3 linked regions of the Macaca fascicularis genome follow. The protein of the gene in region 3 interacts with the protein of the main gene of each other region in a pairwise test. Links are inferred from orthologs where the notes say so. Each region holds a gene or a part of one and is shown on either strand. Other genes may lie near its edges.

Region 1 (3,680 bases), on a different chromosome or scaffold from region 3:
AGATGTCAAACCGATAGGCTCATACTTTTTAGGCTCACTCCTGTTTTTTTCCCCAGTGGTACTATTTTGACTTTTTTTTTTTCTTCTGATCAGGGGTCAGCAAGCTTTGGCCTTGATATGCGGCTAATTTTCGACAATCCCAACCCTCACAACGCGTATGTGTTTAAAAAAAAAAAAAAAAAGTAATCAAGACCACATGTTGCCCAAAGCCTAAAACGTTTACTATCTGGCCCTTTACAAGAAAAGCTTGCCAACCACTTTGTAGCCTATAATTAAATGTTTTTCAACTGCAGGTCTCAACACAATTTAAAATAGGGAGAAATAATCAATTCAAATAGTAAATATCAAAAAGCACTGCATCTGACAGAAGGTAGTACCTGTACTATTGCCAAAGTTTCAATCAGACACATGTATGTGCCTCCTGGATAATGATCAAATTGTATTTGGTTGCAGTCTAAAAGTTTTAAAGGCCTTGAAGGTGAGGCTGGGGAGTAAATAGTGCAATTGTTTACAAGTTTAACTTGTTTAACTCACATTGAGCAATTTTTACAGCAAAGGTGCCTTGGAGAATATAAAGTCATATAAAGCCCTGCTGTTTTGAAGTTAACGGCTTGTTTCTTCACTACAAAATGAAAATGGAATCTCTTCTGTGCACAATATATTGTTATAAGGAGAAAATGGAATCATCAATGCAAAGTACTTCAACAAATGCATTATACAAACAAAAGATTTTGATTATATTAACAACATATTATACAGAATACATATAAGGTCTTTACCAAGCCCCTGAGTTCCTAGTTTTCTCCAACCTGGGAAAAGAGTCCTTTTTTCCCCCTTTGTGTGTGTGCATGAACATGTGTGCATGCGTCAGGAGCATAAAAGAAGTATTAGATATCTCTGCCCTTTCTATCATCCGTTACTGGCTGCTGCTTCTTACCTATTTAAAACATGCATTCTTCTCTCTTTCTCTTGTTTCTAGAAGGAAAAGCGTTTGATTTGATTCTTGTGCAAAAAGAACTACTAAGACTATGATTATCCTCTTGAGGAAACATTTAAAAGTCCAAAATTAAAATTGTAAGTAACAAGCTTCACTTTTATCTTCATAAAGCACTAATTTCCAGGCTTTCTGGGATTGTTTTGGACAAACTAAAAATACATTAATTTTATAATCCATTTCAACATGTAATCGTGCAAAGAAAAGAAACATCTTCCTAGGAGCATACACAAGGAAATGAAATGACACTTCTAAATGTTTTCATTTTATGAAATACACTGCGGACACACAAACCACAAGCAGTGTAAATAAATAAAAGCTGGTGCAATGCTGCATGCATGTTTGCCTTATATCACAAAGAGAAAACACTTGCACATTGCACTCCATGGTATTTTAGCTTGGGTTGCCATAAAAATGGGATTTGGGTATGTTGTGTAATACAGGGGGCTGTAAATGAGGGTGTGTGTCTGGGTGTGTTAGGGAAAGAGGGTTGTAAGCAGAAGGGGTGGGACTTGCCAGGAGCAGCTATTTGAGAAAATTCCGTTTTCTTTCCCATTCATTCTTCTAGCTCAGTCTATTCTAGCTCAGTCTGGCACAGTCCTTACAATTACTCACTGGCTTTTCATTCTAAAGACAACCAACAAGCTTTCAGAACTTCCTACAGTGTTTTTCTCATACACTTAAAAAAAATAAAACAGCAAATCATTCAATATGTCTTTTATACAAAAAGCAAACCATTAACCCGTTTCCTCATTCCAAAGACCCCCGTGGGTTTCAGACTAAATAGAATCCTTTGTTACGTGTCCAAAAATAACACAACACGGCATTGGTAAATTGGAAAATAACAGATAACTCTTATTTCCAAGAATGTCAGAGCTATTGGCCATAAATTTTGTTCTGCCCCAGTGAGTCCAATTTCATGCTTCTTTTAGTGAATCTACCATCCTAACAACAGTAAAGACAATCATATTAAACATCGTTCGCCTTTTCTCTTTTGACATTCGTTTAATAAATACAAAGGCTGAAAGAAGACGCCAAGTGGGCCAGTTTCTTTATGCACAATGGTATCCTCCAAGCGAAATACCTCCAATCACAGCGAAAGTTGTCTTTCTAGCAGATGCCCACCCCAACCAGCCCAGGCAGAGGGGGCAGACGGGCAGAGGGAAGCGTAACCTCCCAGCTCTCCCACCTCCAGAGGAAGGGAAGAGGGTATGACAGAGAGCGGAGTAGGAAGGTGGGCGAGTGGGAGAGACAGAAATGGATGCTGAGGGGGTGGGCGAGATGGGAAGGTAGGGAAAGGTGGAGAATGCGGGGAGAGGTGGGCGCGCAAAGCGGCAAGATCCGAGAGCCGTGGCAGCAAGGGGATCCCGGGGCGCGAGGGCGGGGGGTCTGGTCCTCACCATTGAACGCCCCTGCGTCTGCGGGCGCCGCCTCCTCCTCCTCTCCGTCCTCGGAGTCGGAGTGCATGGGTTCCTCGGCGAAGTTGACCCCCTTGCTGGGGGTGCCACCCCCGACAGCGGCGGCAGAGGCGCCCGCGTCCCCCCAGGTCCTGCCCTCATGGCCGAAGCGCGCGGTGCCTTTGCGCTCGTTCTCCTGCTGTAGGCGCGTGAAGTGCTGCAGCGCGAACTCCAGCAGGTCCGCGGGCTGGTGCCTCAGCACCTCCACGGTGAAGCCCTGCAGCAGCTCCGTCAGTCCCGCCGGGATCTCGATGCTCATCCTGACTCTGGGGCGGCAGGCGCCTGGGCGCCGCCCTCGCCCCCTCCCCGGCACGGCCTAGGGCCCCGCGGCTGCCGAGCGAGCGCCGACGGCGCTGGCGGCGCTACCGGCTGCGAGCGCGGCGCACTGGGCCCCGGCGGCCCGGCTGGCCCGGCCCGCGGCTCCTGGCGCGCGTCTGCTCCGTGTGGCGGCGGCGGCTGAGCGAGCGCGGCCCCGGGAGGGCTGGCAGCATCTCCTGCTCCTCCCGCTCCCGCCGCGGCCGCGCCTCTCCCTCGCCCGGGCGCCCCGCCCCCGCCCCGCCGCGGTGCGCGGGAGGGGGCGCAGGAGAGCGCGCCCACGTGACCCTCGGAAACCATGGCAACCTCCGCCGGCTGGCGCCGCTCACCAGCCGCTCAGAGCACGGCAGGGTGGAATTCGTTGGCGGGCTGCGCGCCCGGGCTGGGTGAGGCGGAGGGAGGCCCAGCGAGGCCGTCTTGGTGTCCACCTGTCCGCGCGTCCAGGAGCGGGCTGGCCACTCGCCCAGCTTCCCACGCGTCATTCGCCATGGTGAACCCCCGCAGAGGTGGTGCCAAGCGATTTGTCCTGAAACTTCAGCCTCCACCTTAGTAGTGGCATTTTATTTTCCTTCTGGAATCTACTTGCATGATAAGTGTTGTTAATGTCCTTTGTTTAAAGTCTTATGGTGGTACTGTTTCTCTTTTGGACAAAGAAATGCTACCCCATCTTTGTGACGTCTTTCTTTTTCTTCCACCACGTTTTATCTAGCCTTTCCCCATCCATCCTGTTTATTATGTCTTATCTTACTGATGCTATTCCGTTGTGCACTCCACGCATTTACTATTTGTTGAGACAAAGGCGCCATTTATTGTGAGGCACCTATCAAAGTTAGTTGATCTCCTTCAAATAGGATAGTGCAAGATGAGGCGCTTATTATTTTGAAACTTTTCTTTATGCTTTGAGTGATTTTGAC
Region 2 (3,752 bases), on a different chromosome or scaffold from region 3:
GTCTCAAAAAAAAAAAAAAAAAAAAAAGAAACTTGTCCAGGGAGACACTGCTGTTTATAATCACAGGCCTGCTTAGCCTAGAGCCTGGGCTGGCCTCTTCATCAGCGGGGATGAGGTGCTCCTTGCTCCCAGCTGCTCAGCTCCCAGTAGCATTGAGCTCCTGGGTGTGTGCCAAGCCTGTATGGGAGGTGCTAGGGAGGATTTTAATTAATACGGGGTAATTACCATGTGGTGTTTAAGCATCCCAAATGCCCTTCAGGTTCCCAAACCTACAGCTACTCTCTTCCTGGCTGGGCCTGGAAAGGAGAGGGGGGACTCTGCCCTATGCCCAGTGGGCCTTTGGTTAGCATGTAGGCTGTGGCCTGGACATCCCAGGAAGGTCTCCACCTTTTTCAAAACCTTTCCAGTTTGGTAGGAGGAGGAGGGCAATTTAGGAAATAGTCTGGCTTCTACAGTTCACCTATACCATCTTCCTAGGGGCAAAGGATAACAATGCCTGTGGTCTGCTCAACTTCATCAAGCAGTGTTGGCCTAGGGCCCAGTGTAGAATGTGGGGAGAGGAGTGGGCAGACCTAGATCTGGGGACCCTGGTCAAAGTGCTCCAGGAAGAACAGGCACAGAGGTCTTTGCTGCTTTTGGCCTTATTTCCCTTTCTCACTGTACACATTTGGCAGACTGAACTCTTTCAAATTTATTTTTCTGCCTGTGGCTCTCAAATTATGATCTCTTTCAAACGCCTACTTCCTACAAGGCCTTCCCCGTGTGACATCTCAGAGACCTGCCAGACTCCTGAGTTATTCCACCATTCCACCTGGCAGCCAAGGTGGTCCTGACTCCACCAGGCCTTTGCTCTTGTTGTATGTTCAGATGGCTTTCCTCCAGATCTTCCCCTAGGCGGGTTCTGCTCAGACCTCGCGTCCAGCTTGAATGTCACTCCCGAAAGTGAGCCCTCTCTTGCCCTTCATCAGAGAAGAACCACACTGAGGTGCTCGTATGTTTCTGCTTCTCGCTGTGTCTCTGGTGCTAAGTGCCGGCCAAAAGGAGGCTCTTGGCATCAGCTGAAAGAATAATGTAAAGGTCTTCAGGACCAGGCGAGAGGCACTAATCGGTCCCCTTCATGGGTAGACCATTCATTACCTAATTCCCCGGATTCCCGCCATGAGCCGGCATTAGGAACCGTCCACTGTCTCGACCCCCCGACAGCCTGAGGGGCGTGTCACCTAGTGGCGCAAGCGCACTGAGGGCCGATGCTACGCGGGGACGCGCACGCCCGCGGTCGCGTGCGTCACAACCAGGACGCCTGCCCCGCCGGTCCAGCTCGCCTCCCCGTCGGTCCCCGCGGCGGCGGCGGCTGCCCAGTGACAGCGGCGGCGGTGCCAGGCCGGCCGTGGTAGCGTAGGGTTGCGCGGCCTGGAATCTCAGAGCCGGCCAAAGAGCGGCGCGACGTGAGGAAGGCCGAGCCGGGGCCGCGCGGGAAGAGACCTCGCGGGCGCGGAGCGAAAGGCCGGCGTGAGTGAGCGCGGAGACAGTGGCCGCCGGCGGCCCAACCCGTCTATCCCCTCGGCCGCCGCCGGCATGAGCCACATCCAGATCCCGCCGGGGCTCACGGAGCTGCTGCAGGGCTACACGGTGGAGGTGCTGCGACAGCAGCCGCCTGACCTCGTCGAATTCGCTGTGGACTACTTTACCCGCCTGCGCGAGGCCCGCGCCCCAGCTTCAGTCCTGCCCGCCGCCACCCCACGCCAGAGCCCGGGCCACCCCCCGCCAGAACCTGGCCCGGACCGTGTCGCCGACGCCAAAGGGGACAGCGAGTCGGAGGAGGACGAGGACTTGGAAGGTAGGCTGTGGGCGGGGCCCTGGGGAGTGGTGCAGGAGGTCTCGAGGGGTGGCAGGGAGCCGGGTGTCGCGCCGGGGCCAAGCCGACCGCAGGCTGGGATTGGGAGCTCTGTAGCCGCGTTTCTAGCGTTTTCCTGAGACACCGCCGTGAGCCCGCGTGCGCCACTTCCAAATTGAGCTCCGCGGTCCTGCGAGCCCTAGAGCGCACCCAGTGATTTGTCAGATTCAGCCTTGAAGGAAACTTGCGCGCTGTCGGCCCTGCCAGAGAGAGGATCCCTCACCTTTGCTTGAGATCCTTCACCAGGTTTGACTCCGAAGACAAGAGCGTTCACATCCAGTGACTCGTGTTTAATTGAAAGGACAGTAAGTTTGTTTGGAAATAATAATTTTTTTTGAAAAGTTACTGTGAAAACTTTTAAGCATAGACAGAAGAGGAAAGGTGAGATGAATCCCTATATGCCATCACCTACATTTAACAGTTGTATTTGTCACAAAGTTTCATCCATACCCTTTTTTCTTCGCCGAAGTGTATTAAAGCAAATCTCTCAGGTCATTTCACCTCTGCTTGCTTGAGTTTGTATTTCTTCAAACGTGGTCCCTCGGAATATTCCTATTTTTAAAAATTTGGCCAAAACGATTGAATCAAATTTGGTGAGAGTAAGTAATTATCTTGCCGGCTGTGGCAGTGGGTCCCTATAGTCCCAGCTACTCTGGAGGCTGAGGAGGAAATATCGCTTGAGTCCAAGAGTTCGAGACCAGCCTGGGCAAAATAGACACCCTATGTCATTTTTAAAAAGGAAAAACCTGGCCGGGCGTGGTGGGTCACGCCTGTAATCCCAGCACTTTGGGAGGCCGAAGCGGGTGGATCACCTGAGGTCAGGAGTTCGAGACCAGCCTGGCCAACATGGCGAAACCCCGTCTCTACTAAAAATACAAAAATTAGCCGGGCGTTGTCGTGGGCGCCTGTAGTCCCACCTACTTGGGAGGCTGAGGTGGGGAGAATCGCTTGCACCTGGGAGGCGGAGGTTGCAGTGAGCCAAGATCATGCCACTGTACTCCATCCTGGGCCGCAGAGCCAACTCCGTCTCAAAAAAAAAGAAAAAGGAAAAACCCAATAGTTATTTTCTTGTTTAGTGGGTGGGTTGTAGCTTTAAAGGAAAGGATCCCAGCAGAGACTGAGATCAGGAGAGCAGCTTCACTGGCTCTGCTTGCTGTATCGAGATTTATCATTTAGTAATAGTCAGTAAACCTTCTCCAAGAGTATGCAATAAGGACCGAGCAGAAAACAAGTTAGAGACTGTCCCTCCCTCACTGATTTGGTGATCCAAGATCATCACACCTTTTTTTTTTTTTTTTTTTTAAAGTCAGGATCTCGCTCTGTCACCCAGGCTGGGGTGTAGTGGCACAATCAGGGCTCACTGCAACCCCGACCTCCCAAGCTCAATGTATCCTCCCACCTGGGCCTCTCAAGTAGCTGGGATTACCTGGTGTGCCACCATGCCTGACTAATTTTGAGTTTTTATAGAGACGGGTCTCCCTGTGTTGCCCAGGCTGGTCTTGAACTCTTGCCCTCAAGTAATCCTCCTGCCTTGGCCTCCCAAAGTGCTGGGATTACAGGCATGAGCTACTGCTCCTGGCCAAAATAACACTTTCTACATCTGATCTAAGCAAGAGTGTTAAGAAGCAATTACAATTTCCTTGGTTGCTTCAACATATGCTTTGTCAATTTAACAGTAGAATTAGCCTACTTTTGAACAACTAAAATTGAACAAAACCATTTGAGAGGCCAAGTTAGGATCTTAGTGTTATTAGATCAGACACACACACAACTAGTCTGAGTTGTATCTGGTCTGGCCCAGTATTCAAGTCACGGCTGGCAAGGAGTTAATTAACAGTCATTGCTGTGGGAGGTTACA
Region 3 (2,308 bases):
CGGCCGCCCTCCAGCCATTGGGCGCGGGACCCAGACGTCCCCGGCGCCCAGCCCCCCTCTCCACGCCTCCCCGGCGCGCTCCGCTCTCCGGACCGCACTTACCGGGAACTCGCCGCCCGCGGGCCGGGGCTGCCGCGCTCGCAGGGTGCTGCGGGGACCCTCTTGCTGCCGCCGCCCCCGCGTCCCTCAGGCGCGCCTGGCCCGGCGCTAAGGATGCGGGGAGGGGGGCGCGCACCCTCTCCCCCTTCTACTCCCCCTGCCAGGGCCGCCCCCGCCGCCGCTCGGCCTTCTGGCGCGCCGGCCCCAGCGCCTCCCTAGAGCGCCCTCTCGGTCCCGGGCTGGACGCCGAGGGGGCGCGCTGCAGATTTGGGGACCCCGAATCTGGGGTCAGAGGGCAGTTTGACGCTCGTTTCTCCTGCGGGGCCGAAGGAGTGCCGGAATTTCAGCTAAACCCTGTTTACAAGGACTTCAAGCCGGGACCTGATCGGCTTGCACTCTGGGGTCCGAAATTCCCTTTCCAACCCCCTGGGGGTGTGTGGGTGGGTGATCGAAGTCGAGAACACCAGCGACACTTTTTTTTTTAAACAAAACTTTATTGGTAATAGTTTTCAAATATGTTTACAACAGCACACTGTTCAAGAGGAAGTCTCGTCCTTCGCAGCACACAGGTTGAATCGCCCCCGCACCCACCCGGGGCCCCACCCCAGGCCTGAGAACTCCTCCTGGGATGGAGAGAAGTTATGAGAGGGGGAAATACGGGGATGAATAGGGTGGCTCCCCAGCGGCTCCCCACTTTTCTATTACGAGAGAAAAAAGCACAAATGAGACAGTGGGGGAGAGGTGATGGACAGCTGACAGCTAAGCTGGAGGAGGGGCGCCCAGGATGGGGGAGGCGGAAGCTGGTGGGTGAGTAAAACAGGCAGCCCCTCCCCAGCAGCTCTAGCCTTGAACCCCGGGCCATGGCGTTGGGGGACTTGGCCTCTTCTGTTCCCTTTTGCAGGGATGCCCTTCCCATTCAGCTGAGGGAAGACTGGACATTAAAATCTAGCGGAGAATAAAATTAAGGAGTTGGGGGAAACGCTGTTGGGAGGAAAGACTTGGGCTTGGGGCTCCCCCTCTGTCTTTTTGGGGGATGACTCCTCTTTGGCAGGGAGAGGGGCAGCTGCTTTGTCTGGCTCTCAAAGCCCAAGTGTGAAGACAGGTCTATTGGGGAAGAAGAGAGCGGAGGCTTCCTAAAGGGGCCTAGACCCTCGCAGGATTGGCAGAGGATTCCCCGGGGAGGGGCCCAGGGGAGATTAGCAGCGGGGAGGTTCAAACCCCAGCGCCTCCCTTTCCAAAGTCAGTCTGCTTCTCTTTAAAATGGATTTGGGGAATGGGGGGACATGGGAGGGGTGGGAGTACAGGAAGGAGGGAGGCACTGGTGGAACTTAAATAAGATTTTAAATTGTTGTTTTTTAAAAAAAATTCTAGCAAGCAGCCCACTGAACATGTCACTAAAAATCTCTCCTTCCCAGTCAGGATTACTCCGAAAGGAAGGTTGGCGCTTCGTTCATTTGCCCTTAGCAAGTGGGGCCTGTGGTTGGGTGGGATGGGGGTGTGGGTGGGGGATGGAGTTAAGTGTGAGCCCCTCTTTCCACACCCTGTCCCTGGATACACCAGCAAGACCTGGTCTGACTGGAGTTGAGAAACTCGTTTAAAACAGGCAGAAGTAGGCTGGGTGGGGCTGAGGGGCTGGGGGGCTGTGGGGAAGGAGGAAGGGAAAAGTGGGGGAGGGGGCAGGAGGGCAAAGGGGATGAGGGGGAGCAGCTGATATTTCTGTCCCTCTGATTATCTGGGCTTCCTGCTCCCCCTAACCCTGGAGGGTGGGGTGGGGGTGAAATTAGATGCAAGGAACTCTGGGGCCCTCTGGCTGTTCAATCCAACCCTCCCACCCCCCCACCAAAAAAAAAAAAAAAAAAAAAGAAAAGAAAATCCATGGGGGCACAGGCACACCCCTAAAACTCAGAAAACTCCTTGCCACACTTCTCATTGATGGAGACCCGGATTTCTTCTTCCTCATAGTCGTCAAAGTTACTCGTATCCCCAGGGCCTTTAAACTTTGGTATGAAGGGAGCTTCCACCTGGAGAGGGATCAAGAATCACCCAGACCTCAGCATTCAACATAATCATTATTACAACAATAAATGCGAATGGCCTAACATTCAAGAGATATTTACTCTGACTCAGGCCTGTGCTTCCCATTAGGTTATGGATTCCTCTTAACGCCTGAAACTCTTAATGTAGCCAACTCATCAAAGGGGAAATTATT

What was found.
Region 1: the proteins of PRKACA (region 3) and PRKAR2B interact in binary tests that used the Homo sapiens proteins (3 or more experiments, as listed by UniProt). The link is inferred for Macaca fascicularis from reciprocal best matches to the Homo sapiens genes PRKACA and PRKAR2B.
Region 2: the proteins of PRKACA (region 3) and PRKAR2A interact in a protein complementation assay, tested with the Homo sapiens proteins (2 studies listed by BioGRID). The link is inferred for Macaca fascicularis from reciprocal best matches to the Homo sapiens genes PRKACA and PRKAR2A.

Annotation. Positions count from the first base shown.
Region 1 is NC_088377.1:148,581,885-148,585,564, reverse strand, and holds the start of PRKAR2B (cAMP-dependent protein kinase type II-beta regulatory subunit), read right to left. Parts: upstream 2,914-3,680; 5' UTR 2,711-2,913; coding exon 2,395-2,710; intron 1-2,394. UniProt on the Homo sapiens protein: Regulatory subunit of the cAMP-dependent protein kinases involved in cAMP signaling in cells. Type II regulatory chains mediate membrane association by binding to anchoring proteins, including the MAP2 kinase.
Region 2 is NC_088376.1:111,815,280-111,819,031, reverse strand, and holds the start of PRKAR2A (cAMP-dependent protein kinase type II-alpha regulatory subunit), read left to right. Parts: upstream 1-1,280; 5' UTR 1,281-1,575; coding exon 1,576-1,837; intron 1,838-3,752. UniProt on the Homo sapiens protein: Regulatory subunit of the cAMP-dependent protein kinases involved in cAMP signaling in cells. Type II regulatory chains mediate membrane association by binding to anchoring proteins, including the MAP2 kinase.
Region 3 is NC_088393.1:14,510,390-14,512,697, forward strand, and holds the end of PRKACA (cAMP-dependent protein kinase catalytic subunit alpha), read right to left. Parts: intron 2,121-2,308; coding exon 1,995-2,120; 3' UTR 573-1,994; downstream 1-572.